Diceros bicornis minor: one gene and its partners. The protein of the gene in region 1 purifies or fractionates together with the protein of each later gene. This does not show direct contact. Links are inferred from orthologs where the notes say so. Each region holds a gene or a part of one and is shown in the gene's direction. Other genes may lie near its edges.

The links.
Region 2: the proteins of POLR3C (region 1) and KPNA2 purify together in Homo sapiens (co-immunoprecipitation; 3 studies listed by BioGRID and IntAct, with this or other methods). This does not show direct contact. The link is inferred for Diceros bicornis minor from reciprocal best matches to the Homo sapiens genes POLR3C and KPNA2.
Region 3: the proteins of POLR3C (region 1) and protein POLR1D purify together in Homo sapiens (affinity purification with mass spectrometry; 3 studies listed by BioGRID and IntAct, with this or other methods). This does not show direct contact. The link is inferred for Diceros bicornis minor from reciprocal best matches to the Homo sapiens genes POLR3C and POLR1D.
Region 4: the proteins of POLR3C (region 1) and POLR2L purify together in Homo sapiens (co-immunoprecipitation; 3 studies listed by BioGRID and IntAct, with this or other methods). This does not show direct contact. The link is inferred for Diceros bicornis minor from reciprocal best matches to the Homo sapiens genes POLR3C and POLR2L.

What each region holds. Positions count from the first base shown.
Region 1 is NC_080743.1:53,359,381-53,367,181, forward strand, and holds the start of POLR3C (DNA-directed RNA polymerase III subunit RPC3), read left to right. Parts: upstream 1-4,785; 5' UTR 4,786-5,012; intron 5,013-6,059; 5' UTR 6,060-6,079; coding exon 6,080-6,226; intron 6,227-6,758; coding exon 6,759-7,014; intron 7,015-7,124; coding exon 7,125-7,310; intron 7,311-7,801. Other genes in the region: E3 ubiquitin-protein ligase RNF115, read right to left, coding at 4,414-4,515. UniProt on the Homo sapiens protein: DNA-dependent RNA polymerase catalyzes the transcription of DNA into RNA using the four ribonucleoside triphosphates as substrates.
Region 2 is NC_080757.1:47,461,276-47,468,765, reverse strand, and holds the start of KPNA2 (importin subunit alpha-1), read left to right. Parts: upstream 1-4,469; 5' UTR 4,470-4,576; intron 4,577-5,923; 5' UTR 5,924-5,948; coding exon 5,949-6,023; intron 6,024-6,173; coding exon 6,174-6,311; intron 6,312-7,490.
Region 3 is NC_080748.1:10,914,726-10,922,523, forward strand, and holds the start of protein POLR1D, read left to right. Parts: upstream 1-4,784; 5' UTR 4,785-4,842; coding exon 4,843-4,868; intron 4,869-5,835; coding exon of another isoform or gene 5,836-6,211; exon of another isoform or gene 6,212-7,798. Other genes in the region: DNA-directed RNA polymerases I and III subunit RPAC2, read left to right, coding at 4,843-4,868, 5,836-6,211.
Region 4 is NC_080770.1:1,179,876-1,185,910, forward strand, and holds POLR2L (DNA-directed RNA polymerases I, II, and III subunit RPABC5), read left to right. Parts: upstream 1-3,905; 5' UTR 3,906-3,959; coding exon 3,960-4,054; intron 4,055-5,241; coding exon 5,242-5,350; 3' UTR 5,351-5,515; downstream 5,516-6,035. UniProt on the Homo sapiens protein: DNA-dependent RNA polymerase catalyzes the transcription of DNA into RNA using the four ribonucleoside triphosphates as substrates.

The sequences.
Region 1 (7,801 bases):
GTATTCAACTTATCATATCACATATTCGTTCAAGAAATATTTAATAAACAACTGCTATATAGCACCAGAGAGATGCCAGATAATCAAGTAGACTTTTTAGCTAGTTAAATCACAAATAGCAAAATTTAGGATAATCTAATAATTAAAACCTCTCAAACCCAGCTCAAATCACTGAATTCCTTCCCCTAGTTCAACAACACTACTTACATTACTTATACACCACCCTGGGATCTTTCCAAGAATCATGCAACTTAAAAAGCAAGGTTATTGAGCTTAGAGTTTTAAGAATCACAAAGTCTAAGAAATCTACTTTTCAGCTACTCTTCTAATAGGGTAGTTAGAAAGTTTTCCCGTATTAGAACCATTACAAGTACAGCACAATGATGATAACTTGTGGAGCACCTGGTAAAGAGCCAAACTAGATAACATTACTTATTGATAAGGATGACATTTTATTAGATCAAAGAAGGTGATATAATAAGGAGATGAGAGAGGGAGAGAAGCCTGCTAGTTCTTTCAGGCAGAGCCTCAGAAATGAGCAACACACTGGTAATCCTTAGACTGGTCTCTTGTCTGGATGAGGACTCTGATCTCCACAAAACACTTAAGAACCACCCTAGTCTTATCAATACCAAAAGTAGTTTACTCTGCATATGATTTATCTCACCTGCTTAATGATGATTCTATCAGACTCCATCTCATAAGGTAATATTCCCTGGCCTTGATGTAAAAGAGGACAGAATGACATCTTTACATTCCATAACACAGCCCTCTGTGGTACTGCCCAGTCATTCATCAATGGAGCACAGTAACTGTGTCAGTCTTGACTTCACAGTGTCTCTCAACAGTATAGCCAGGTGAGGCAAAAGCTTCTGCTGTGTTATGAAAATAATTTTAAGTTACTTAAGTATTTCTTCTATCATTTGATGACCAAAAAATACACAATGCCATTTTACCTAATCATATATAAACTTGAAACTCTGGGGTTTCAGACCATATAATCAAAATCTCTTATTTTAAAATTCAAGTTTAGTACTCACTAAATTTTACTAAAATTAATTTCACTGTAAATAACAAAACACTCCCAATAAGAGAAAGAAATTTCTAAATCAATATTCACTTCTAGAATGGAGACTCTTTTTTGATGCCTAACAGATAACAGTACCACTGAATACTATATTTTCATTTTAAAATTCCATTCACGGTTTTCCCTCATTTCTTAATATCGTCTTTCTAAATGAAACGTTTTTCTCTTATCTGGGAGGATTCATACCAAAGACACACAAAGCTAAGATGGATAAATCAGGATTAGCAATAAGGAGTGTTATTTCACCAAATTAATTCAAACGAATGTGGCTTAACTTAACAGCATAAGGCATATTTCAATCTCTCTCAGAAATTATAGCCAAAACTATTTCTTCTAATTCAGACACGAAAGTTAACTGGGTCTGTGAATCTTTCAGAGTAGTAGGACTGACAAGATAAATGATAAACAAAAACCTAAGAGCAGTTTCAGGGCTGAACATTGGGTAAACTATTGTTATTGCCTGTGCACACTTCCAAATGTATCAAGAAGTGCTGTATCCTAGCGATTGGGAAACGGAGAAAAAGTAAGAGTGGTAAAAACCTTGCAACCTGGTCCCACTGAACACAATTATGACTCTGCTATGTGGTGACTAAATTGGCAAGAGATAAGACGGCTCTGAAGCAGTCGTTCCCACTGATTGAGTGAAGAAACCTACCGAGTAATAGCTCATTGAAAGCTGATGTAAAACTCCATACGCAGCCTCACGTGTTCAGGGAGGACAGCGCTCGTGGATGATGGTTCTTGTGATCCATTAAGACAAAACAAAGAAAAACTTCATTCACAATAAGCTGAGTCTAGCTATCCTCAGAAAGACATCCAGCTTTCCCATAACATTTGTCCAGTTGAAGAAACAATGCATGCCTAATGTATACTGAGTACTTACAGTGAGGGAACCTTAAGTTTATATAAAAAATTATTTTCAAAAAACTTTTCAATGTTCTCCTATATATATGAAAATCATACTACTGACTTACCAGTGTTTGAGTTGGTTTTTCAGTAGCAGAGACAGATTTGTACTGAACCAGCCACTTACTGACCTGGTCATTCTTACAACCAACATTTTCAAGATGACAGTCTGGGGTTAAGGATATACAAATGGCCATGAAACAAGATGCAACTCACTGGGTCATCTACAAATCAAAACTAAACCCCTGACCTCATTGCACCTTTTCCTAAAAATGCATAACAACAATGATTTACTAAATATTTCTCCCTTCTTCCTCAACTCACTCTTCCTTTTCTACCTCAGTCTATGCTATCCTCCTCAATCTGAATTCTGCCTATCCTGTAGAACTCAATTTAAATCCCATCTCTCACTCTTTCCCTCACCTCACCAATGTTACCATATCCCCCTCTCTCTGAATTTGAAAGCACATATTACCCATCCTCACTCACCTTACACTGTTACTTTTTCCATGATTGTCTTGTCTTTCCAACAAAATTGTGAGCTCCTTAAGGGCAGGAACCACATATTCCTCAGTTATTGCCTTCAGAATATCCAGTACAGAACCTTGTATGTATGTGTAAATATTCAATTACATTTAATTGTGTTAGGCCTTAGTTTACAAATCAGACATTACAGATAATAAATCAGAGTAAAAACATCAATAGCCTCTCCTCCGGGCATCAAACTAAGGCTTAGAAAAACATCCAAAAAGTCTTTCAAATTATCACTGTTCAAGAGCACTCTGAAGTGAGGACTTGAGATGGTAAAAAGAAAAGATATAATAAGTTGTGGAAAGTTAGACTGTTTTCTCACTCTTTAAGGCAAATAGTGAACAGCGACTTAAAGATCAGTAGAGCTACGGATACAATGTTCAACAAGGCATCACATTCAACAACATGTCACTGGTCACACACACACTAGCTCAATTCCAGACTCCCTTTCTGTGGTAAGAGAGTTCTGGAGGCTCGGATGTCCACTGGAAAAAAACAAAGCACCTGCTCTTCCCAGCACTGAAACATGGCAAAAAGCACATACACACACCGCCAAATCAGCAAGCAAAACTAGCCTGTAGATGAAACTATGACTTTGAAGTTGGCGGTAGGGCAAACAGAAAGAAAAGAAAATACTATAAAAGCCTGAAAAAGCACAACTTTTAGGTGAAGAGGCTACAATATTCTTCAGGCACTTATTCACAAGACTCTTTGTGTTTCTAAGAAATAAGACATACAGACACACTTTAGTAGACTTTCTCATACTGTACCTGAGACACTATAAGTCTAGAGGTAAGTTGTTATGAAGCCACCCTGTCAAGACTGAACCTGATTACTTCTAAGGAAAAAAACAACCATAACTAATTCTAAAGATGGGTGGCCAAAGGTAGGATTACCATTCACCCCAGTGGGTCTCCCTGCAGTAGTTACAACCCGACCCAAAACAGGGCCTGGGTTTGGGGTGCTGTAGCTGGCTAGCATCCTGCAGAAGCGCTTTCTTCACAACCATAGCACTACCCCTCTAGGTGCTAACAGTCTGGCAGAAACTGGTGAAAACCAATTTTATGTCAGAGGATGCAGTCCCCAGCATTCCGTCCTGGATCTTTCTATTAAATGAAGAGACAAAGCGGCGCAGGGGGGCGGGTAAGGGAGGTGGTGCCAAAGACACTGGCAGCAGGACAACAAAAATAACCAAGTTGAAACAATATGTCCTGCCTTCTTCCTAAAGCCATTTCCTTCAATAGTGATAGGGAGGCAGGCAGTCTGCAAGTCATTACACACGGCTGTTTTCACTTTCACAAGAACCCTGGAAACCAGTGAAGAGCAAAATCCCCCTCTCTGCCCCACAGTTACCTTCCAACCCTCTCTCTTTCGTGCTTCCTTCCTTCCTTCCTTCACTAGAGACAACCGAACAGGGACAATCCTCATCAATCCGCTATTTTGCTTCACTGAGGATGGGGGAGGGGGAGGATCTGGTGAAGTAGAAAAGCAAAGAGGAAGGTGAGAAGCAACAGCGGAAAGAGTATCGAGTAGGAGAAAGAGAGGTCATAGTGAGAAGACAAGGTGAAGAAGAGTGCAAGAAAACTGAGGGGAGAGTTGTCAGAGGAGAACTAGCTAAGAAAGACAGAAAGATGGGGGGGGCAGGTAACGAGGGGAGAGGGAGTGAAGGGCAGGTCAAGCATCCGAGGGGGAAAAAAGGCCGGACGGGAGTTATGGAGCCAGGGCCGGGACGCCCAGGGTTGGGGGCCAGCGACGGGAGACCGTGAGCAGCAGGTATTGGACAGACCGATGTCAGGGGAATCAGGGGAGTGCGGGGATCTTAAGACCCTGTGGACATCGGGCCGAGGAACTCACGCCGATGCCGAGCGCAGAGGACACGGGGCTCTTACCGGTAGTTTGGGGCTGACCTCGCCCTTGCAAAAGTGGCAGAAAAACCGGTGCGCGGCGACAGCGGCGCCTGCGCCCGCCCCGGCCGCCGAAGCCTCCGCCATTTTTCTCTTCCGCCGCGGCTGTCCGAGAGGGCAGCGGCCCGTCCCTCGCCAAGCCACTACCACCCGGCTGCGGTCGCCGCCTCTGCCGCCGCCGCCGCTTCCTCAGTGCGGCCGGCCGCTCCAGAGCCCGCCTCGGTCACGTGAGTCTGCCGAGCCCAGAGAGGCGACGGCGTCGACTGCGACCCCGAGGCCCGCCTCCCAGCACCAAAGAGGCGCAGGAAGGAGAGTCCGCCCGCTGCGCCCGCCCGCCGGCTCCTCAAACAGCTCCTCGCCGGTCCTCCAGCCTTCCAGCGAGAAGAAAGAAAGAGTGTCCCCGGAAACCACCGAAACTCTGAGGGTAGAGCGGCACACGTTTTTCCCTTTTCCCCGTCCTCCTCGGTGTCGATTCTCCTGCAAGAAAGGGCCGTGGGCTCCCCCTCTGCCCCGGCGGCTAGCAGGAGCCACATGAAACCGCCGGCCGTGGGGAATCGGCGGCGTTAGATTGCATTGACCCAGAGGTTAGTGGAAACTGCTGTCTGAACCAAGGGACCAAGTCCAGAACGGGAACCTGCGTGAAGGGAGTGAAGAGCCAGGAGTCAAGCTCCTTGAAAATCCTTTTCGAGGACGGCAGAGGGTCTAGGGATGCTTCCCCAAAGGCATGTGGTTGGCCTACTGAGGCTGAGAGGCAAAGACTTGGCTTCTGAGGAATTGAGAGAAACAAATGAACAAACCAATGTTTGGTAGCACTTGGGATGATAAGGAAGTAATTATATAGCCAACTACGTCTGTTTGTGTCTACTTTGTCAAGGAGTAGAAATTTCAAAATTAAATACTGCCCTGCAAACAACATACTTCATCTCCTATTTGAAACACCCTGTTGAGAAGCTCTCCTTTACCTCTTAATTTCTTTTTCTATGTTGTCATGTCCTTTATGGACTGGGAATGACACTGCCTGTTCACTCCCAATGGGCTGTGAACAGTGGCCTTAATTCTTCCAAACAATGAAGTATAGAATCTAAAGTCTGTGACAGATAGCAGATCCATCTACACCCAACCTTTAAAAAAAAATAGAGGAAAAAAATTAAAATCACACATAATTCCATAAAGATAAATTTGATGTATAGTCTTCCAGGCTTTTTTCTATACGTACATGTTTTTCTTTTCTTTTTTCACAATAATTGAATTTTCCTCGACATTTTGCTTTGTAACCTGCTTCCTTAGTGAACAATTTTCTATGCTAATACATACTATATTTCATTTTAAATGTTGGCATAGTATTCCATCATATGAGTATCCCATAATGGATTGAATTAATCCCTTATTGCTAGACATTAGGTTGTTTCCAGTATATCAGAATTCTAAAGAGAACTACAGTGACATCTTTTTATTATTTGTTTGGAACGATGTATTCAAAACAAAATTATTAGGTCGAAGTTATCCAAGATTTTAAGGCTTTTGATCTGTAATGTCAAATTGCCCTTGAGAAAGTACATGAATTTACACTCAGTAGCTCTACTCCCAACATAAAAAAAAACTTTCCATCATACAGTCCTTTTTGTTTCCAGCTCTCAGACTCCTCAGTACAATGACTCAAGCAGAAATTAAACTGTGTTCTTTGTTGCTGCAAGAGCATTTTGGAGAGATTGTAGAAAAAATTGGAGTCCACCTAATCAGAACTGGCAGCCAGCCACTAAGAGTAATTGCCCATGACACAGGAACATCACTGGATCAGGTATGTTTGGATGACATTAATTTGCTTTCATTAATTTCTTTTATCTACCTTTGAATATTGTTACTTCCCACCCCACAAAATGGAAGAGGGAGAAAGCCTGCCCTGGGATCAGAACAGTGTTATTTGCGGGGAAAGAGGATGAGATGTAGGCCCCAAGGTTCTGCTTCTCAAACTTCCTGGTTCATCATGGCTTCTTAGGCAAATCTTTGCTCTTCCTATGCCATACCTCATTTATTCATAATGAGTCTGTTAATCTCAGTACTACTTTTAAGGAATGAGAATAATAAAGGGAAAGTACATTGTACTTTGGAAGATGAAGATCAGAGGAAACATGAGCATCGTAGCGAGGAATCTTCCTGATTTCTTCTATGGACATGTGATTCTTATTAGCTCTTTCAATGGAGGGAGGGAAGAAGCACAGAGATTCTTATCTAGCCATCTCCTGGTGCTGAGTAAACTGTTGGACAAAATTGCCTGCAATAATGAGCGGTGGCTTCAGATCTTTTCCCTCTTTCTTTTGGGTCCTATCTAGGTCAAAAAAGCTCTTTGTGTCCTCATCCAACATAACCTGGTGATATATCAAGTGCACAAACGTGGTGTGGTGGAGTATGAAGCCCAATGCAGCCGGGTGTTGCGAATGCTTCGGTATCCCCGGTACATCTATACTGCTAAAACACTATACAGTGACACTGGGGAGCTAATTGTTGAGGAGCTGCTGTTGAATGGCAAAATGACAATGTCAGCTGTTGTGAAGAAAGTGGCAGACCGGCTCACAGAGACCATGGAGGGTCAGTACTGTATCCACTGCTGTTAGCAAAAGCATAGATTGGCTGGCTGCAGGAGTAGACCCTCAGCTGTCTTAGGCCATCTCACCTGCCTTTTTCCTCCTGTTGTACAGATGGCAAGACCATGGACTATGCTGAGGTGTCAAACACATTTGTGCGACTAGCAGACACACACTTCGTGCAGCGTTGTCCCTTGGTGCCTGCCACTGAGAATTCAGACTCTGGGCCACCACCACCTGCCCCCACTCTTGTCATCAGTGAAAAGGACATGTACCTGGTTCCTAAACTGAGCTTGATAGGTAAGGAATTTTGACCCCTGGACCGTGACTTGCCCTAATTGTTGATTCTTCATCAATGATTGTTAAATGAATGAATCAATCAATTGGGCAGTTACCAAGGATTTATTCTGTGCCAGGTACTGTGGTGTAAAATGATAAAAAAAACTCATAGTCTCTACCCTTATGGTACTTAAGTCTAGTATAGGAGACTTAGATTAATCAAATAAACCAGATAGATATATAACTAACAAACTTTGATAAGTACTATGAAGGAAAACTGTGAGGTATTATGAAAATATATAACGGGACCAGCTTTATCTGGGGATTTCGGGCACATGCTTCTTTGAGAAAGTGGCATTTGAGTTAAGATTTGAAGCAGAAGTAGGAGCCAACCAGTGAGGTAAAGTATGAAGGAGTACAGAGGATAAACATTTTTGGCAAAGGCAAGAGTATATAGTGAGAAAAATATAGGATATTTTAGGAAGTAAAAGAAGGTCAGTATAGTTAAAGCA
Region 2 (7,490 bases), on another chromosome or scaffold:
GGCTCAAATCCAGGATACCACATTGCATTTAGTGTTTAGTTGTTTTTGAAGAGTAGGAATTAACTCAGTAATATTCCTCTTGTACAAGTTTTGCAAGAAGTGTTTAAACTCTTCAAGTTAGTCAACTGAACCCTGAAAAGTTTAAACTCTGATTGCATTTCTTTTATTACACTAATTTGCAAATCAAACACACACACCCCAAAACCCGTAAGTTCTAAATACAATTTGTTGTTCGTAATAGTTTAGGGACAGAAACCACAAATTATGTTTATTATATTTGTATGTTGTAACAGCACAGTTGTTTTGCTATAAACTCTCCTTAGTACTGAAAATAAATGTTTGGAGCTAGCAGAGTTGGATCTGCTCCCAAACTCCTAGGGATTAGGATGGGGAGAAAGTTTTGCATGTATGGCTGCCCGTGGTGAAGCTCTGCTTGAAAAGGTAGGCAGAAAAAGAGGTAATGCCATCCGTCCAGTCGGCAGTTCATGTTTCCTAAGGCTTTTTTCTTTCAAAAGTCACTGTAAATTAAGCAAGAATAAATGCCCCTGTTTTGGATCCTATCTCAGCTTTCACGCCAAATTGTCAACTGCGGTGTTTTTAACAAGCGGAGATGCATTTCCTAATCTGTAACACAATCTCCTCAAGGTCGCTGTAGCGAAGTGAAATAACCACATTTTAAAATCTACCTCGCTGTCGTCAGTGATTATCGTCTGTCCCTGCACCAAAACTGATCTCTGTGCGACCCAGATGGGACTCGAACCCACAATCCCCAGCTCCGGAGGCTGATGCCTTATCCATTAGGCCACTGGGTCACCACGAGATCCGGGTTCTCACACCGTCTTCTTACGTGATGCCATCATCGCGCCCCGCCCTGCCCTGAGCTCCGCGGCCTCGCGTCGGGCGGTGTGTGATTTGGGAGCCGCCCCTAGCGGCGACGGCGCGCGCTTGCGCCCTCGGCTCGGACTGCAGGGCGAGCCCCCGCGCGCCTGCGCGGGGCCCTGTCCGCCCCGCTGCCCTGGGCTTGCGTGGCCGGCACGCGGACGGTTCTGGGCGGCCTCCTTCCGGGTGGGTTCTGTTCGCTGCGCGGACTGCACATTAGGCCCACTTGGGAACTTACCACAAAATTCCAATGCCTGTCCTCCCAACGTTCTATTTCTGTTTATCTGGCTGGGCCCGGGCGTCTGTATTTTACAAGTTCCCCAGGACCTTTCTCTGCCGCCGGCGTTAGGAACCACTCGCGGGGCGTGAGGGCCTCCGGCACCTGCCCCCTACACCCAACCCTCCCGTCCCTTACAGGGCCTTCCTTCCCTTTCTTTCTTGCATTTATTCAACGTACATTAATTTGATAATTATGTGCTGGGGACTGTTGCGGGATTCCAGGGTGAACAGGCTTTTCTTCAAATTTGCCCTTCTCCCCCATTCGTCTACATCCACTTTCCTCCCCCTCTCCTCTTCCCCTCCAGGTTAAAGGGAAAATGAATATAACAAGGTCCCTGAGTACAAAATAATACGGATTTTTGTTTGTTTGTGTTTATCCTAAAGCTGGGTTTTGGATAAAGATTTAGACTTTCTGGTTCCATACACAATATCTCTGTGCTTGTTGCATGTAAAGATGCTGCATTTGTGGCTTTTAAAAATATGCAATTTAGTTTTCTTGTTAGACATACAATACCTGTTCATTGTAAAATTGTATAAAGTATGGGAAAGCCAAACGAAGAACATTGAAATTGACCATAATTCTACCATTCGGAGTTAACCACTACCAACATTTTGATGTGTGTTTTTCAAATCTTAAGTGTCATTGTGTCATATGTCACTGTTTTATTACCTGTGGACCCTGACTCATCCAGGAAATGGTTTTCATGAAAGCTAGGACATTACTAGTGAATAATAATTCACTAATCATTCAGCACTGATGGTGCGGAAGTGATGGTGGGTAAAACTGACACCTTAGTGAATCAAGGCAGTGGCATCAAACTAGTAATGGTGTCTTCTTCACCTTTGCGCACTGGCTGTGGGGGGGGGGAGCCAGCTTCACTTAAGAATGTCCTTGATAATCATATAAGAATTATTAATTGTATTCAGTCTTGACTCGAGTACATATCTTTTTAATATTTTGTGTAACAAAATGGGAAGTGTGCATAAATCACTTCTACCACATACCAAAATACAGTGGTTGTCTCCTGAGAAAAACATTTGTGTGATGTTTGAGTTGCAGGCTAAACTAGCTGCTTTTTCAGTGGAACATCGTTTTTACTTGAAAGAATGACTGACAGACAAACTATGATTATTCAGATTTGGACACACTTGGGTTTGGTTCTCCAGAGCAGCTACAGTCTCAGGCGCCCATCATCACAGCACACAGTCCTGTGGAAGAGAGAGGCTATCTCACTCTCAAGGGCCTCAGTAAACTTTTTACTGTACTGTGTTAACATCTTCATCACCAAACCAATATGGCTGTGTCTCTGCCATAGAATGTACTGATTGGCCTAGGCCAGACAGGCCCTCTCCTGAATCTCTGTCCAGACTACAATAGCTAAGAGTAGAGGATGTATGGTTCCCCCTGGGCAACATTGTGTCTTTCAAAGGCAACTTTCACTTTTGACATTATACTTCCGTTTCAGGTTGTTTTCAGGTACAAGTACAGAATAGTGATTGAGAGCATGGATCCTGGACTAGACAGCCTGGGTCTGAATCCTGTCTCTGCCACTTATTCATTGTGTAAACCTGGACGAGTTACTTAACCACTCATGATTCAGTCTTCTCTTCTGTGAAATGGAACAGATAATAATACTACCTCGCACAGTTGTGAAGATTAAATGTATTAATATATGTAAAACAGAACACTTCTGGGCACATAGTACTCAATATTTTCAAGCAAAAGAAAACCCAATTTAACTAGCTTAAACAACAAAGAAAGTGTATCAGATGACATAATCACAAAGTTGTATAATTGCAACCTTCAGAGGTAGGGCATGCTGTCAATCAGAGCTTTCATGGTTTCTCCACCACTGTCCTATTCATACTTCCAGGAGTAACATCCCTCAGTTCAGAAGAACAGAGCCTGCTTTCCTACCTGCAATCACTAAACAAAAGGCATAGGCTTCCCAACTGGATGAATTTAGGTCACATGCCTGCCCCTGAACCATTCACAGTAGCCAAGAGAATGCCCTGCAATGACTGGCTTAGGGGTGAATTCCTTCCATGTTTTTGCACTTAGAGTGGATAGGATTCTGCTGATTGGGTAGGTGGGAATAGAATCAACCTCCTATGAACCACATGCTGCTACACAATGAGTGAGACTGGCATAAATGCCTGCAAGACGACTAAGTTCACTGTTTCAATTCATTTATAGCAAAAAATAAATCAACACAACTTTTTAAAAAATCCTTTTTCAGAATACAGAGAAACAGCAGAAAGAAAACAAAATGGCCCACAATCCTGATGCTCTGATAACCCTCATTGATGCTTAAAGAAAAGTACATGGCAAGAAAATGTAAACATTTTATTCAGAAATGTATAAAATACAGCATAGATCATTACTAGAACAATTGGCAAACCTTGAACATGAACTATATAATTAATAATAGCATCAAAGTTCAGTTGTCCTGAATTTGATGATGGTGGTGTGGTTATATAAAAGAATGCCCTTATTTTTAGAAGATACACGCTGATATATTTAGAGGTAAGGAGACATGATTTTTGAAACTTACTCTTAAATCGTTCAAAAAGTAATATGTAAAAGCCATATATATATATGTATGTGTGTATATGTATTTACATGGAGAGAGACAGAGAAATAAATGTGGCAAATGTTAACGTTTGGCAAATCTGGGTAAAGATTTGCAATTCTTCTGTACTGAAATTATTTAAAAATAAGTGTCTGGAAAAACAGGCATAATAAACCTTTTGTTACCATATTTGTGGCTTCTTTGCAGTCTTTTATGACACAAGTTTTAAAAAAAAAAGAGAGAAACTAAAAAATGCAAGACAAATCTGCCTTACTCCTCCCCTCCATAGTGGCCAGAAACCCCTGCCACGTTCCTTCTGTGTCCTATCAGGGAAAAAATGTATATCAATATTTTTCTATATGAAGATTTTTAAAAAGAAAGATTTTGGGAATCATCTGTGGTACGTGGTTAAGGCCACCCAGGAAAACGACCAGCGACCTTACTCGCATAAACCCTCAGCAGCGACCGGACCATCCAGCCAAGGCGGGGCTGGGAACCGGCCCTTCGCGTTGCATGCCGGGATCTGAAGTCTTTCCACTAAGAACTGCAAGGCGCTCTGGGATCGCCCGGCCGCTCCCCCATCTCGCGATGTTATCCTCCCTTCCTCTGGGCCCTATGATCACCACCCCTCCCCAACGTGTTTTTCAAATCCACCAATGGACGCACAGCGTCTGCTCGAACCAGCCAATCGGAATGCGGAGCCACCGGGAAATTTAAATCGCGCCGGCAGGCTGCACGAGCCACACCGTCTTCGGGTTGAGCCGTGGTGGACGTTTTGAGGGCATCCGATCTGCAGCCTGTGCGTCCCGCGCCGATTGCTGTGGAAGCCTGACCCGGCTGTGAAGGTACGAACTCAGGCCGCAGCCTGGCCCGAGCGGTAACGGCTGGCCCCAGGCCGCGCTTGGCTTTCGGGTGGCGAGAGGGGAGGCCCGGGTACACGCCCGGCCTGCCTTCGGCCTCCCTCGTTGGCGAGGCCTCGGGGGCGCCGTTGGTTGACTAGGCGGCTGTTCCGCGATGCGAGTGCGTGGGTTGTAGGGCGCCGAGGCTCTGCGGACCGCAGCGGGAGCCCTTGCGGCCCGGAGAATCTCCGTTAGGCCCGAGGGCCAAAGTCCGGGAGTGGGCCCGGCGCCTCCGGCCCCTCCTCCGCCGGTTCCCCGCCGCGTCTCCCCGGGGTGAGGGGCAGGGGACGGGACCGGAGGTGGAGGCGGCAGTTGGAAGGACTCGCTCCTTAACACGTAGGCGCTGGGTTGGCTGTGGCACAATTTCGTAAAAGAACATAGTGGAATTAAAGATAACAGATCGTAGGGAGGACTTTTACTTTCGTCACCTTTCAGAGATTGCTTTTAAGGTATCTGAGTCTGAATGAAGCACCATTAATATCAGCCCGATTAAGTGCATTCACTCGCGATTCCTAGAAATGAAAATGGGTGCGGGATGCTGGGGATGCAGAACTGCGTCGCAAGTTTTCAGTGTTGACAGGAAATGTGATGGAAGACTCCATAATGTAATGATGAACCAAATTTTTCTTTAGTTTTCAAGTGAGAAATTTCAGGGAGAATGTAGCTATTTTGGCCATTTAAAGACAATAGAGAGCCTCCAGAGAATCTGAATTTATTGCCCCTAGGACATAGATTTTAACAGTAAGGTCAGTTCCCCTGCTTTGTCTTCAGTTGGCTCTTTATGGACTCCGTATAGAGTCTAGAGCCGCACTGTCCAGTGTGATAGTCACTAAATGTATGTGGCTCATCCGAAGTGAGATATGCTGTAAGCTTCAAGTGCAGGCAAGATTTTGAAGAACTAGTATGAAAAAAATAAAATATCTCAATTTTTTAATGTTGTAACGTGGTGAAATGAGAATATATTGGAAGTGTTGGGTTAAATAAAATATATTATTAAAATTAATTTCACGTAATTCTTTTTGCTTTTTAAAAAATGTGGCTACTAGGAAATTTAAATTTATGCACGCTTGCAACATATTTCTGATGGACAGCACTGCTCCGGGAAGTCTCAGCCCCTTCAGAGGGGAGGGGACAGATATCATTTGGCCAAGACTATTTCATAGTGCTCAGAAAGGAAGTTTGTCCTCTAACAGAGAAGTGTAGATTCAATATATGCTTGGTAATTGTGTTGATGCTCTTCTTATTGACAAAGCAAAATGATAAAAGGGAAATTTTTTCTCTCCCCCATCTTAGAGCTTTCTCCCTTTGTCTCATAACCATGTCCACGAATGAGAATGCTAATTCACCAGCTGCCCGCCTTAACAGATTCAAGAACAAGGGTAAAGACAGTACAGTGAGTACTTTCTGTTGATTTCCTATGGTATTTTTTAAATGGGAAGATATTTGAGAAGAGGTCAGAACTTTGAGGGAATTTGAAAAAATGCCCTCACTTGGCAAGAAAAACTAATCTAATAGGTGAAATGATGTGTTATCTTTTTGCAAGGAAATGAGGCGGCGCCGAATAGAAGTTAATGTGGAGCTGAGGAAAGCTAAGAAGGATGACCAGATGCTGAAAAGGAGAAATGTAAGCTCATTTCCCGATGATGCTACATCTCCACTACAGGAAAACCGCAACAACCAGGTAAATATATTTTAGCTTCTGAATTATGGTAAACCCAGAAAATCAATATGGGGCTTTTCTTAGAAATTTAACATTCCTGGCTTTATGGTTTTAACTCTCAAATCTGAAGATCATTTTTTCTGCTCCCAATCAGTAATTCTGATGGGTTGTCTTCTTTCCTGCTCACCCTCCATAATCTTTTGAAGCTGATTCCAAGGTTGTCCTGAGTTCCAATCTCCTCCCTTCGAGTTTTCCAGCATTTCCAGCTGCCAGCTCGGTACCTTAACCTGGCCATTCCAGTGCTAACTGAAATTAGTGTATCCAGAACCAACCACTTTCTGGCTTATTTCTACCTTTTTTGATATTCTCTATTTTTTGTACTTGTCACTAGCTTTGTTCAGGGCTTTTTCTTTCTGAAATATTTTCAGTAGTCTCCTAATTTATCTTTCCCTTCATTCTATGCCACATACTATTTACTTAAAAATTTTCCTAAAATTCTGCTTTAGACATGTTCTTTCTTTGCTTAAAACTTTGATGGTTTTAAATCCATATTATTTGAAGGTTTTTTTAAATTAGACCCATCGTAGATTTTTAAATATCTCTCGTTTTTAAAAGATATTGGGCACTTTCCTACCTTTTATCTCTGTCGCCCCCCCCCCCCCCCCGAATACTACCTACGTGCTATTTCTAGGGTATTATTCTCAAATCCATCTTTTCCTTATAGCACTCCCTGGTCAGCTTAGCAGGAAAAATGCCCCCTCTCAGAATTCCTCTAGCACTCTGGTTCTGCACCAACAATGGAGAGTAAATGCTTATATAACATATATATACACATACATATATATATATACACTATTTGTTGTACGGTTGTTGATGTCACATTTTCCTTGTTAAGTTGTAAACTTCTAGGGAAAAAGGGACACTGTCTTTTTGAGTTGTCTACTTGAGTTATAGTATTGGTTCTCAAACTTTTCTACTGGGATTACAACATATAACATTTATATTTGCAGCACTATACCATGGAAATGCATAGATTATAAGGTTAGATGTGAAAATCCCCAGCACATTGCCTATAACTCCATCCCTTTTTCCCCTAAAAGCTTATGCAAGTGATTGAGACTAATGTAGAAATAACCTTCAAACTGCTCTAATTCACTTTTTTGTTTTTTCCTCCTAATTCACTTTTTTAAATTGTTCACA
Region 3 (7,798 bases), on another chromosome or scaffold:
AACATATGAGAGGAAAGCTAAAGGGGATTTATTTTGTAAATCTCCCCGGTCCTGTAACAGGGTCATTTTAGGCCTGGCCAAGTCTTCTACAACTATAATTCTACACACAAGATATATATATACACACATATATACACAAATATCTTGCATGTTGAATTACACATATATATACACATACACATATATTTTCAACCAACACTGTTTTCTAAGTAGAATGGAACCCATGAAGTGAGACCTTTGATTCTTCTAGAAACTTTGTTGGATTTTGACATAAAAAGGTGGGCCTGGAGTGAACTTTAAGCCCATAAGCAGGGAAAAGTTAAATGACTCTGCATAATAAAATAAAAAATATTTGAATTTTTGGAGGCAATCAGAAAGGAGAGAAAGAGGAGAGAGAGAAGGGCCAACCAGATTATATGAGCCTGAAGTTCCCCTGTAATGGTAGCCAAAATGCATTTTAAGAATAGAGATGCCTAATATTCAACATCAACACTCTCAGGACTGCAATCCCCAAATCTCATAAAGTTTACCACAACGCACAAAGGCTTTAGGTGAACTCTCTTTTTTCTTTTCCATTCCTTCCTCGCTCCTGTCGACACATCTATCCAACAACTTCATCACGGACATCTCAACTATCCAGTAGCACCTCACTGGTCTGCTCCAAATCTAATTACCTTCCTTTTCCCACTCCTTGTTTTTAACTGCCCTTCTCTTATCTCCCAACATTCCACTGCTCATTAATGTCATTATCACTAAAGGAACACCTAATATTTACTGAGCAGTTGTAACGCGCTAGGTCCTCTGCCAAGGGCATTACATGCGTAATTTCATTTGATCCTCAAACCCTACTAGACAGGTACTATGATCATTTCCTAAATGTGAGAAAACCAAAGCTCAGTCAGGATAGTAATTCTAAGAGTAAGTGATGGAATTCAATCCCTGACTCCACAGCCAGCTTAACCAGTACACTCCAATGCCTCAAGTCAAAAAACCTAGGAATCATCCCTAGGAATCATCATTAATCATATCTAGTCACTTACCTATTCCAACCAAATATACCTCCTAAATGCCACATCATCACCTACTTCCACTGCCTTCACAGACAACTAGCATCTACCAAGTCCTTACTATGTGTGAAGCACTATTCCAAATAATATACATGTTTTTCAAGCTTTATCCCCCAAACCCCATGAAATGAAGAACCTGAGGAAGAAAGAGGTTATATAATAAGTGATATAGCCAGATTCAAACCCTGAAAATGTGAATTGAGAAGCCTGAGCACTTAACCCCTATAGTATAAAAGCTCCTACTTTGTCCCCCTACCTCCCATCTGCACCCCCACCATCCTCCAGACCGCTGCAAATATCCTTCTGGAATGCAAATGTTATCACAACATTCTCCTGCTTAAAACTAGCGGCTCTGTATTACTAACTGGCTAAAGTCCGGTTTTCTTAATTTGGCATACAAAATCCTTTGTGTTTCTGTTTAAGTCAGTTCAATAAATATTTGAGTGCCTACTGTAAGCAAGGCAAAGTGCTAAGTGCTCTGAAATGAATACTACCCAGCCCTTGACTACCACTCCAACCCCATACATTGTGTCCTTCAGCCAGAGTAACTAGATGCAGATCTCGTAATGCAACACCCTACATATTAGTCTCTTTGTCTAGAATGTACCTGGAAAATCCCACACCAATTTGAAGAGTGAGTGCCTATGTGGGGCCTTCCCTAACAAACTCCAGGCAGAAATGCTCCAAGTTCCCACAGCACTTTGTTCAGATAACTTTCAGGTAGCTAGTAGTATGGCTCAGCTTCCCAATAAGACTATGAGCAACTTCAGGGCAAGAGCCGAGCCCTGCCGTCAAGGCCTGGCATGCAGTAGGCACTCTATCATTTGCTGAATGAAGAAATAATGAAAAATTTCTCACTTGAGAAAAGGAAAGGAACAAGATACAGAATTAGGAATGTTAACACACAAGTGGGCCAAATTAAAAGTAGTGTTATTCTACTTCGGTTCCGATTTGGCATACATTTTACCCCTATGGGAAAAATCACATGTGGGACTTGGACAAGCTAAAAAGGTAAAACTTTGTTCTTCATGGCTTAACAAAGTTTTGACAGGCCCCAAAAGGATACTAGATCAAAGTCCATTTTCCAAAGGAGTGTGGAGATCGGAATCAAATCCATCAAAGTAAATAAAATTGATCTGAGATCCAACTTCATCAGTGCTGCGTCACAGTACACACAAGAAAAAACTCAAAATCTGTCCCGGGACGAAGGCCAATTTACAATTAACTACTGCTGCTTCAAGAATGTGAAATTCTTTAAGTGAAGGCAGTTCCAATAAACCGAAGCTCACAACTGTTTCCTCCTCCTGCACTGCCACTGCTTTTCACTTAACTTCGTTTCTGGTTTCTGTGATTTAAAAAGAAACATCTATACAGTTAAGCCCGTGCATGAATGTACTGTAGCTCCTGGCAGATACGAACGTCTTGATTTGTAACCTTAAATGTAAACTGAAATATCAGAAGAAACACTACATATAAGTTAAAATTCCTTCGTTTAAAATATGGCATAAAGCTTTAAAAAGCGAGTGATGTATTTCCTGAGTGGTGCTTTGTGTGCAACTGCTTCAAAACCAAGATCCATATTTTGAAATTACCCCCATGAAGAGGTGAAATCGCTCTCCCACCCTCTTTGGCCTGAAGGGAAAGGTGAGAATTCCTAGGCAACAGGCTGGGACGGAGGGTACGATCTCTCCCCATTCCTTTCCAGGGGAACAAGATCTGACGGAAGGCAGCTAGTGTCTCTCATTCACCACAACATACACACAGGAAATAAAAAACTCTTCCCCACCTCTCCCCTTAAAAAAGCAAAGGACGCAAAGATCTGCAACACAGCGGCCGGAACCACCAAATGGTAACAGCCGGGGGCCGCCCACCTCTCCCCGGCGCCTGCCCGGCGGCGAGCACCGGGCGAGGGCAGCCCGTCCCTCCCTCCCTGGACAAGCGCAGCCGGCCCCACACCCGGGTCCGCGTTCCCCGCAGCCCGGCGCGCGAGGAGGAGAGCCGCGCACCGCGGCGGTGGCGCCGCTCGGGCCGCCTCCCCGGGCGCGGCGCTGCCCCACACCCCACCGACGCCCGCACCTGAGGCGGCTGCCCGGACCCGGCGGGAGGGCGCGGAGCGAGGCGGCCAGGCAAAGTTACTCACTGGGAAAGCGCGGCTGCCCGGGGCGCGCGCCGGCTCCCGGCGTCGCAGCACAGCCCAGCTCCGCTCGCCGCGGCCCGCTGAGGGAGTGCGGAGCTAGCCGGCCTCTGCTTCGCGGGGAATCGCCGCCACCGCCGCGGATTTCCTGGCAAGAAGCAAACTCGGGCCAAGACTTCGCTTCTCAACCGCCCCTGCTGCCTTCGCGGGGGCGAGCGCCGGGGCCCAGCCGCCCAACCCGACACGCACCTAGGCCAATCGGCGGCAGCACAGGGCGGGAGATGGGCGGGCCAGAGAGCGGCTTCGCCTATCCGAGGGTTCAGGGGGCGGGCCAGGACGGGCCGTCAGTCCCGGGTTAGAGTGAGCCTGCTCCGCCTCCCGCCGCCTGGCCTCCCCCCCCGCCTCGGGTGTTGCCGCCGCTCGCCTGATTCCCTTGCAGAACACACGCTCGAGAAGTCTCTGCGCTCCCCGCCGATCGCTGCGAAGAGAGCGGAACAGCTGGGGGAGGCAGGGAACATCTAGGGGAATGGGGGTGGGGGGGCGGGTAAGGAGAACAAGTGGCGGAGGAAAGCAGAAGTGTAGGTGTGTTTGACGAGAGGACAGCCGGGGTAGGGTGGTAGGGACAGGGGCTGACTGGGTGAGGGAGGCGAGGGGAGCTGGTGAGCGAGGAAGGGAGAGGGGTTATTAGCAAAGAACACCTGAGGGGACGGAGAGAGGAGCGGTACGAAGGAAGGAGGGCGGAGAGCGAGTCTGGGTGGTGAAAGGTTGCCGAGGCGGGGTCAGCGGCACCTGTGAACAAAGGTGAGCGAGAGGTTCCGCAGGTGAGGAGGATTAAGACGCCGAAAGGGTAAAGGGAAAAGGAAGTCCAAAGGGAAGGAGGACGTACTTCAGGAGTAGAAAAGATCCCAGGAGAGAAAGGATGGGGGCTTCCTTCCAAACTCTCACTCCTCCCCCAAAAGGTAAAGACAAACGCCTGTCTTTTGACCCACTTGAGCTGTGCAGCTAGCTGCAAGATCCCGTATGAGACAAATACCGGCTCAAACCATCCTATTCGGTTGTGAAATTCATCAAGGTGTACTGATCAACTATAGTTTAAGCCTGTCGTCCCATGAAAGCCTCCCCGAGGGTTGGGGTCCCGCCTGGGAGTAACACCATCCCCCACGGGTCTAACAGCAAGTCAGAAAGAGGCCCGAATCCGGCCCTAAAAAGGAAGGTGATTTGGGGGCCACAGGTAAGGCCCCGCCCCCTTCGCCATCACCTAGAGGAAGGTGCCGAGGGCTGAGTTCAGGCGCCCACAGGCCGGTCTCGGCATCGGAGTGGGGCGGGAGCCCGACCCCTCCTCTCTCCCCGCTAGCTCTGCCGGCGGACTTGCTCCGGGAGGGCCAGGTGAGCGGCTCCTGCCTCGCTCCCGCCCTCCTCGCGCCAGGGGCGGGGCATGTGGGCGGGGCCTCCGGTGGAGCCTCCACGCCCCGCCCAGTGGCTGGGCCTTGCCGCGCCGCTGCGGCTCCTCCCCGCTCCTTCCGTTTGCGGCTGCTTCCGTCGGTCGTTCCTTCCTTCCTGCTTCGCCCGCACGTTTCGTGACATGGGGCTGAGCCTCCGGTCCGCCAGCACCACCTGAGGGTCCCGGAAGCCGTCCCCGCCATGGAAGAGGACCAGGAGCTGGAGAGGTAACGGCCGAGGAGGAGGCGGGCGGGCGAGCGGGTGGGAGGAGAGGGCCGCGCCCTGCACCGGGAGCCGGTGGCCGAGGGGCCCGCGGCCGGCCGGGGCCTCAGCCTCCGCGGCGCTGCCTGGCAGCGAGGGCATGGCTGGGAGGGCAGTGGGGGAGAGAGAAGCGGGCGCCTGGGCAGGGAGAGGGTCCCCGACTGGGAGGAGAGGGGTGAAGACGTGGATGTGTTTGAATACAGACGCTCAGTACACTAGATACCAAGACAAGTTGTGAGATTAGAGTTTAAGTCCCCACTCTGCCCACCCCACCCCCCGTTAGAACAGTAAGAGTAAATAACGCTAACGTGTAAAATTACGCACCAGGCCACTGTTCCCCAAGTGATAGCATTGGTGTGCTCAGTCGGGTCGTATTCCCTGTAACTGCGGCCCAAGTGCCTCCTCTGTGCAGACTGCTAATGAAGCCACTGTGCGCTGAGATCTTTCTCCCTCCTGCTTGATTGACTCTTCTCCGACTTTCCCTTCTAGTTTCCTTACGTCCTGCAAATGGAAGCCGTAGTGGGCCTGCACGTTGATAATCTATAGTCTATTTTTATAATAATCTGTGTTTTTATACGCCTTTCAACTCCGTTTTCATCCTCTAGCAGGGCCCTCCCTATTCTAATCCTATCCCTTTCTTATGACTCTACCAAAAGAATATTTTAGCAAACATTTAAGTTTGTGTTTTAAGGAGACTCGCCTTGTGGCCATGTGGACGGTCAAATGGAGTAGGGAGAAACTGGAGGCAATAAATTAAATATTATTGATAGACTATGTGGAGGCAGCAAAATAAGGGGCTAATGCTAATAGTTCTATGTAATTGAAGTACATTAGAGTAATAATGTGTTGCAGTTGTGAAATAGTAAATGAAAAAAGCTAGTTAACAAAACCATATTCAGTATGATCTCATTTTTATAAAAAATATGTGTGTAGAAAAAGATCTGGATTGAAGACCTCAATGGCTGAAGGCGAGAGGAAGACAGCCCTGGAAATGGTCCAGGCAGCTGGAACAGATAGACACTGTGTGACATTTGTATTGCACGAGGAGGACCATACCCTAGGAAATTCTCTTCGTTACATGATCATGAAGAACCCGGAAGTGGAATTTTGTGGTTATACTACAACCCATCCTTCAGAGAGCAAAATTAATTTGCGCATTCAGACTCGAGGTACTCTTCCAGCTGTTGAGCCATTTCAGAGAGGCCTGAATGAGCTCATGAATGTCTGCCAGCATGTGCTTGACAAGTTTGAGGCCAGCATAAAGGAATATAAGGATCAAAAAGCAAGCAGAAATAAATCCACATTCTAGTCACTTATGCATGCTACAGGGAAGACTATCCTCTAGGATATTCTCTTCGTGATCTTGTAAAACCCACAAGTAGAAGTTTGTGGTTACATCATGATCTGTCCTTCTGAAAGGTGTGCTTCTAGGTATTGACCCATTGCCGCTGTTGGAATCCCTGCAAGAACCTTTGTATTGTTCTAATAAATTCCCTCTTTTATTTAAACTAATTTGAGTGGTTTCTGTTCCTTAGTCCTCAGGTTGACTGTTTTAGGGTTTTTTTTCTAGCTTACTTTCTCTTTTTTAATTGAGCCAACATTGAAAGTGAGGAAACTATGAGAAAATCAGAGGCCCAGGCAAGGACTTTGATCAAGGGGATTAAAAGGAATATGCATTCATGGCTATGATTGGGGGAGAGGGAGAGATGCAATAGAGCATGACCCCACATAGACTTGTTGGTTTAAAAAATAAAAGGAGGAAGGAAAGAAAGGTGGGAGGACTTAGCTTCTTGATAGATAGTTTTTAGTAAATTCATGGGAGAATTGCATCCTTTGCTATGATTGGTAGATTGGGCAAGGGTGGGGAATAATTTGAAAGAATTGTGAGAATTCTAGTTTCACATGAGAGTTTTTGGTGGTATCAGGCTCCATCTTTGTGATAGCATTTACAGGATAGATGCCAGTTTACTGCTTTAATTTCAGGACAGTAATAAAATATTTAATCAGAAATGACCTAAGTAGGTCAAGAGAGTTTAATTGTATTACAGAAGGAGAAAACTGGGAAGACCAGATAACGTTTTCAGTCCTTAGGTATCTAAGTATAGCCCAAGGTTACATTAAAAAAGGAGTATTTGAGAAACAGTAAGGACAGGGAGAAGGAAAATTCCATGTGGGGAAAATGATTTTTTTTTTTGGAAAACTTAAAATATTAGTGAATCACGTCTAAGAGCTGTCCTATTTACCTCTTCAGCGTTGTCTCTCATGCCTGTCCTACCCCAACTTGACTCTTAATTCACCCTAATATCTGTCAGCCTTTGAACCTGAGCACACCACCCCCCAGTGCTCTGTCCTTTGGAGCCTTTGTTTATTCCCTCTTCCTGGAACACTCTTCCTTCTGCCATACTCTGGTCTAGGTAAGAACTTACATGTCGGACTTCCTACCCTAGTTTGGGTATTTGTATGTGCTTTCATTATGCTCTGTGTTTCTTGGTTTTGGATTTACTATGCTATTGTTAGTGCTTATGTTGTGTACCCACTATACTAACTTGAGGCACAATGCTTGATAGGTAGTGGATGGTTAGTAAATATTAGATGAATCCATGTCAGTAGTTAAGGCATATAGCCTTTTATTCACTCAAATCAGACCTCTTCTACTAGCCTACCATAAAGCCCGCATTTCCTACACTCAGTCAACTCTTTAGATAAATGTATTTCTGTATTTATTGAGCATTTGGTGTATACCAGGCCCTGGAATAGACATGTTAGTAGATGAGACACAGCTCTTGTTCACATGGAGCATACATTATAATAAGAGTGAAATTTTTTTTTAAAGTTGTAATTCTGTGAAAAAACAAATACAGGGTCAAGATAGAAAACATGAAAGAGGAATCTGCTT
Region 4 (6,035 bases), on another chromosome or scaffold:
GCTAGACCAAGGTCCCATTCAAATAGAAACCTCCCCAAAAGCTGAAAGAGCGCTTGCCCACGCGGACTTGGAGGACTTGGAGGCCTGGAGCTGATGGGTGGCTGCCAGTGGCATGACCCACCCAGAGCCTCAGCCGCGAGCAGCAGCAGGGGCCTGGCCCAGGAGCACACATACAGTGGGGGCAGCTCAGGGTGGAGAGCAGAGCGGAGCCCGCCCACCCCGGGCCCCCAGGCCGAGCCGGCTCTGAGGCGGCTTTGAGGAGCCAGGGCCCCGCCAACACAAACAGGCCTGTGGTGTCCGCCTTCCTGCTGCCTGCCAGGCCCCAATGCCCACCCAGGCCCCGACCCTGGGGGAAAGGCAGGCTGGTACCCCCTCCACACACAGAGCCTGGGCAGGGCCCTCTCCCCACACCCAATCCACAGCCTCCCGGGCTGGGAGACACTCGCTCCAGTGGAGGGGTCCCTAGGGGAGGGGTCCCCGTGAGAGACGCCACCCAGAGGCCCCCAGTCTCTCCTCCTGGGCCCACCGAGGCCAACCCCAAGCTCAAAGCCTTGCCTCCTCACCCCCCTCTCATCCTCCCACCCTCAGGTATTTCTCTGCTAGAGGCCACGTGGAGGAGGGGGTGGAGGAGACACAATTAGGACCTGGGAGTGGGGGGAGCCTTCCCACCCACCACAGGCCCTGGGAGCACCCTGCCTCAGGTGCCCAGTGTGTGCCCACCTACCTTGCACAGACGTGCCCACCCGGCCCCGTGCCACAGAGATCCCTATAGAGCAGTACCCTCAGGGATGTCCGGAGGGTCAGTAGGTTAGGGCCATTTTGGCCTCAAGCACATCTGCAAATGCCACCACTCACGACTCCACATTCCCCAGAGCCCAGAGCGTTAAGTACTGGTGTGGCAGGCAGTGACCTCGCCCGACCCTGGGGAGGCGTCTGAGCCTGTATGCTCACCCCACCCGACCCCGCACGCCCCCTGTGTGAGCCCACATCTACCAAGCAAGCAGGGCCAGGGGCCGAGCCTGGGACCGCACGCCTGCACAGCCAGGATTGGGACCCTCCCGCTGGGCAGCTTCTGGTTCCACCCACACTTTACAGACCAGGAAACTGAGGCTGTGACCTAGGACCAGGGGGCAGGGTGAGCCCTCTCCCAGGCTGGGTCACCCCTGTGGCCAGCCTGTTTCCAGGGCAACCCTCAGGGCTGGAGGGTCTCAGCAGCTCAAACTCCAATCGCTGATTTCCCCTTGTCCGGTCTGCCCTGAAGTGACCCCCTCCGGCAGGAAATGAGGCTCAGGGGTTCCAAACCACACATTAGCATGGCCCTCCTTCCTCGAGCCCCCACCACCGGGGCGGGACAGTCCACTCTCAGAAACCGCGCCCCGCTCTCCCGTCCCCATCTCCGGCCCTCCCCAGAGGCCTAGGCTCCACACACACCCAGGGGAGAAGCTAGGGCCCCCACCTACCCTTGCAGCAGACACGGCCCCACCCCCAGCCCACCACCTCCTGCCCCTGCCCACCCTGAAGAGAGCCCGGCCCACACCCCAGCCTGCTCCTCCCAGAGCGTGTGCACACACACACACACAGACATACGACCACCCAGGCCCCGGCAGCAAGGCAGGGCTGACCTCTGAGGCTCCCCCAGGGTCCTCTGGTCCAGCCTGAGCCACAGCAGAGTCAAGACGGGAGGATCAAGGGCCCCAAGGAGCCTCCGTGCACACGGGTGTTGGGAGTACGTGCACAGGCTGGGACAGCGGCAGCCACGCTGCTCCCCATGGCCTCTCCTGGGAACTCAGGGAGCTGGAGGAGGAGCTCAGGAAGAGGAAGCCGGCCACCACCCCCAAATCCACACGCAGCGCTCAGAATTCCAGGAATGTCAACTTGGCTCTGGCCAGCATCAGGGCGGGAGGCTCATTCCCCTCACTCTCTCGGAGTAAACAACTGCTCACGAGTCAGGGCTGGAGCAAGGGTGGGGCAGGCCCTGGGCCCCTCCTCCAGGAAGCCTTCCATCCCCCCCTAGCTCCTGAATGTCCACCCAGCGGACATCCCGGAGCCCCTCCCCTGTCTCCCTCACCTCCACAGCCACCGGTAGCCTCTGCAGCTGAGCCCGAGTCCGACTCCAGGCCACTGTGACTCAAGGCCCCCGTCTTGCTCCTCTGGTCGGGGACAGGATGTGCGTCCAGTCAGCCTGGGGGAGGGCAGGGAAGGGAAGTGGCCTCAGCTCGTGGCTCTGCACGTGGCAGGGTGGGGGATGGCAAACGCCACTGGGGAAGCTGTCCAGAGCCCAGGTGAAGGTGGGGACACAAATTCCAGGCAGGCAGCAGCTCTGGCCAGCCCCACCCAGGACCCAGAGGACCCTCCATCTCCCTGCTCCCCAACTGAGGCCAGAGTCCATCATCCACCCTGAGAGGGCAGTTAGCTGATGCCTGGGACCCAACGCTGGCCCCATCCCAATCAGAGATCCAGACACCCCAGGCCAGTGAACATGCCCAGAGCCTGCACACGCAAGTAAGTCATAGGCGCCACTTTGTAACACATCCACCCCCTACTGCCCAAAGCTCACCTCCTCCAGGGAGGTTTCCCTGCCTCTCACTACACACTGCCCTCCCTGCAGACCCCAGCCCCGGGATCACCCGCTCAACCCACCCCATTTTCAGAGACACAGCCTCCCATCCCTTTAAATCCTCCATGGTTCCTGCCCCATGACCTCGAGCTCCACCACCTCCTCTGCCCTAGTGCAAACCTGTCTCCTTGAGCTGCTCTGCAGGTACAGCCTCCAGGTCTCTGCCCGAGGGTTCCCTTTGCCCGGATCTGTCCTGCTCTCTCACACACTCAGGCTCGCCCCTGGGGAAATCCTGTGTTCTTCAAGGTTCAGCTCAGGGGTACTTCTTCGAACACACTCTCCCTGACCACCTTCCCTAGCCTCTGCTCCCCTCGGGGTCCTCAGAAGTCCGATGCCCTCAGATCGCGGGCGATCCAGCGCAGCCTGGCCTGGGACAGGTGCAGACTCATCCCACACCCCCTCCCAGCCCCTTCCCTGGGAAGAAGAGAGGAGCCGCCGGCCCAGCCCGGCACCGGCCCGATTGCTCCCAGCGCGCCCTCAGCCGTCGGGGCTGCAGGTAACTACCCGGCTGGGACCGATACTATGCGGGGGAGTAGGCTGGGCGGTGCCCCGAGGGGCCAGGCCGCGGCTGGGAATGGGATCCCCAAATCAGCTGCAGAGACCCCCCAGGCACTCGCAGGAAGAGGCTGCAAGCAGGAAGACCCTCGTCCGGGCCGGGCGGGAGGGGCAGCGGGAAGACCTGCCCGTGGTCGCCCGCTCCCACCGGCCTCGCTGGCCGGTCAGCCCCTTTCCGCCCCGCAGCGCGTCTCCGCGACCCCGGCCCCGGCCCCGCCACTTGTTGCTGCGGCTCGGCTCGGGGCTCCGCGCTGGGGCACGAACTCCGCGCCGGCTCGGCTCTGGGCCCGCTCCTGGTCCTGGGCCCGGTCCCGGTCCCGGTCCCGGTCCCGGTCCCGCTGCGGCGGCAGGACCCCGGCCACATCTTCCAGACCAGCGCAGTACCTGAGCGCGCCGTCTGCCCGCCGCGCAGCTGTCAGTCATGCGGACACGAGAAACGCGAACCGCCGACGACAACCCTTTAAGGCCCCGCGCGGCCGCCGTAGGCCGGGACGTACTAAAGCAGCGGACGGGGTGGTGCCTCCTGTTCCTGCCGCTGCCGCGCGGGGCCCGTGACCTCCGACCCGCGCGGAGGGAACTCGTGGCGGCGGGAGACGGACGCCGGCGGCGCCAGGGGCGGGCAGGGCTGGCTGGCGGCGGCCGGGGACTGGGCGGTCACCCCCCGCTCTATAGGCGCGCCCGGGGCGGGGCGGTCACCGCCTGCTCTATAAGTGCGCCCGCGGCGGGCCCGGCGCCACACGCAGAAGCGTCGCCGGGCGGTACGGTTGTGCTCTTCTGTTCCACAGCCATGATCATCCCTGTGCGCTGTTTTACGTGCGGCAAGATCGTCGGCAACAAGTGGGAGGCCTACCTGGGGCTGCTGCAGGCCGAGTACACCGAGGGGTGAGGCGCGGGCCGGCGCGGGAGGGGAGGCTGCCGGACCGTCGGCCTGCGGGCTGCGGACGGGGTAGCGGGGTCCGGGCCTGCAGGACGGGGTCGGGGTGGGGGGTCCCGGCCTGCGGAACGGGAATAGGGGTAGGGAGTCCCGGCCTGCGGGACGGGGATAGGGGTGGGGGATCCCGGCCTGTGGGAAAGGGACGGGGGTGGGGGGTCCCAGGCTGCGAGCGGGGAGTTGGGAGGGTCCCGGCGTGCGAGGTGGGCAGAGGCACTCATCAGATGCCAGGTGATGCTGCAGTTCCGAGGTACCTTCCAGCCTGACCTTCCCTCAGGACAGCGTTGCCTCCCACTGCCCGCCAGCTTGGGGAGAGGTGGGGTGTTGGGCATCAAGCAACTGGTGTCTTGGGGACACCTAGGTATGCTGGCGGGTTACCGTGCCTCTCTACCACAGTTAAAACTCTCAGCCTCCTCTCCCTGTGCTTGCTTCCTAATCTTGTTTCTTTGTCATTAGGTCCACATCTGTACCCGGCAAACCCACTTTCCTTTTAGGACGGAGGATAAGCTTTGTGACCACACAGCCGTCCTCATCAGGCTGTTGTGGGTCCCTTTTCTGTGCTTGCCCTTTAGCACTACAGTTACCACCATGCCTATTCTAGTCTCTCTTCCCTACTAGAGGCTAAACTTTGGGCCCTGTGTGGACAGCCCTGTGTCCTAATCAAATTTGAACCCCTGGGGCTTGGGGCATGCCAGCACGCCATAGGCTCTCAGTGCAAGTATGTTGGATGAACGGGGAAGCCATAGGTGGGCTGAGTGTTAGCGCCAAGCCCTGATGAGGCTGCTAGTGACGAGAGTGCTAGGGAATGGCTGGCAGCCTGCATGAGACCCCTTCCCTGGGATGCCATGGGCAGGGACCTCCCAGCCTGGCCTCCTCTTTCCCAAACTACTATCTCTGCTCGTTGGAGGCAATGATGTGGAAATATTCAGGCCTTGAGGGTGACTGGGGCTGGGTCGCAGGGAAATTGAGAGCTCTAATTGGCTCAGGAAATGAGAGAGGGGGCTCCCTGGAGTGGAGTGGGGCTGAGGAAAGATCCCACAGCAGCTGAGTGGGACTGAGTATGGCCTGTGCACGGCCCTCTGTCTGCCAGGGACTGCCAGGACAAACTGACCACAGCCCGTTCTCTCCTTGCCGGCAGGGACGCCCTGGATGCTCTGGGCCTGAAGCGCTACTGCTGCCGCCGCATGCTGCTGGCCCATGTGGACCTGATCGAGAAGCTGCTCAATTATGCGCCCCTGGAGAAGTGACTGCGCTGGAGTCTGCCCGCCCGCCTGCCGTGCTGACCACTTGCCCAGGGTTCATTCCACCCAGGGGTGGGCAACCAGGAGCAATGCCTGCCCCCAGCTGTGTGGGCGTGCGTCTCCCACTCTGGAAGGAATCATCCAGTAAAGGTCTTGGCAGAACCACAAGGAGGTTCTAACAGTTGGCCTGGTTTTGTGGGACTTCCCACCGCCTGCATTTCTGTGTCCTGTCTCATGCCTGAGGCCCCTTGGGGGTGAATGCAGCCCTCACTGCCCAGGAGGCGGGAGAGCCATCCAAATGGCAGCTGCTCCTCAGCCTGGAGGGTCTCCCTCTGGGGTGTGTGCTGTCACAGCCCAACAAAGCCACAGACAACCAGGAACCCTGGGGGTAGGGGAGATGCCGGGGGGACACTGGCATCCCCATGCCCAGGTTCTGAGCCCCCTTTAGGCAGAGCACAGAGGTCCCCACATCCTCTCTCCCAGGATCTCAAGAACCAGATTTTCTGGGCCCTGAATAGAGTGCCCACTGTGGTCATGGCTGTCCATCCTGAGGGTCCTGCTGCCAGAAGCTTCCAGGTTCCCCCCAAGCCCAGCAGGCCCCTCCCCTTGGCCAAGTTCCTGCCGAGGGCGAGGAGCAGGGCCTGGCCTCCAACAACCAGCCCTGAGACCCCCACAGCAGGTCGGGGGTGGC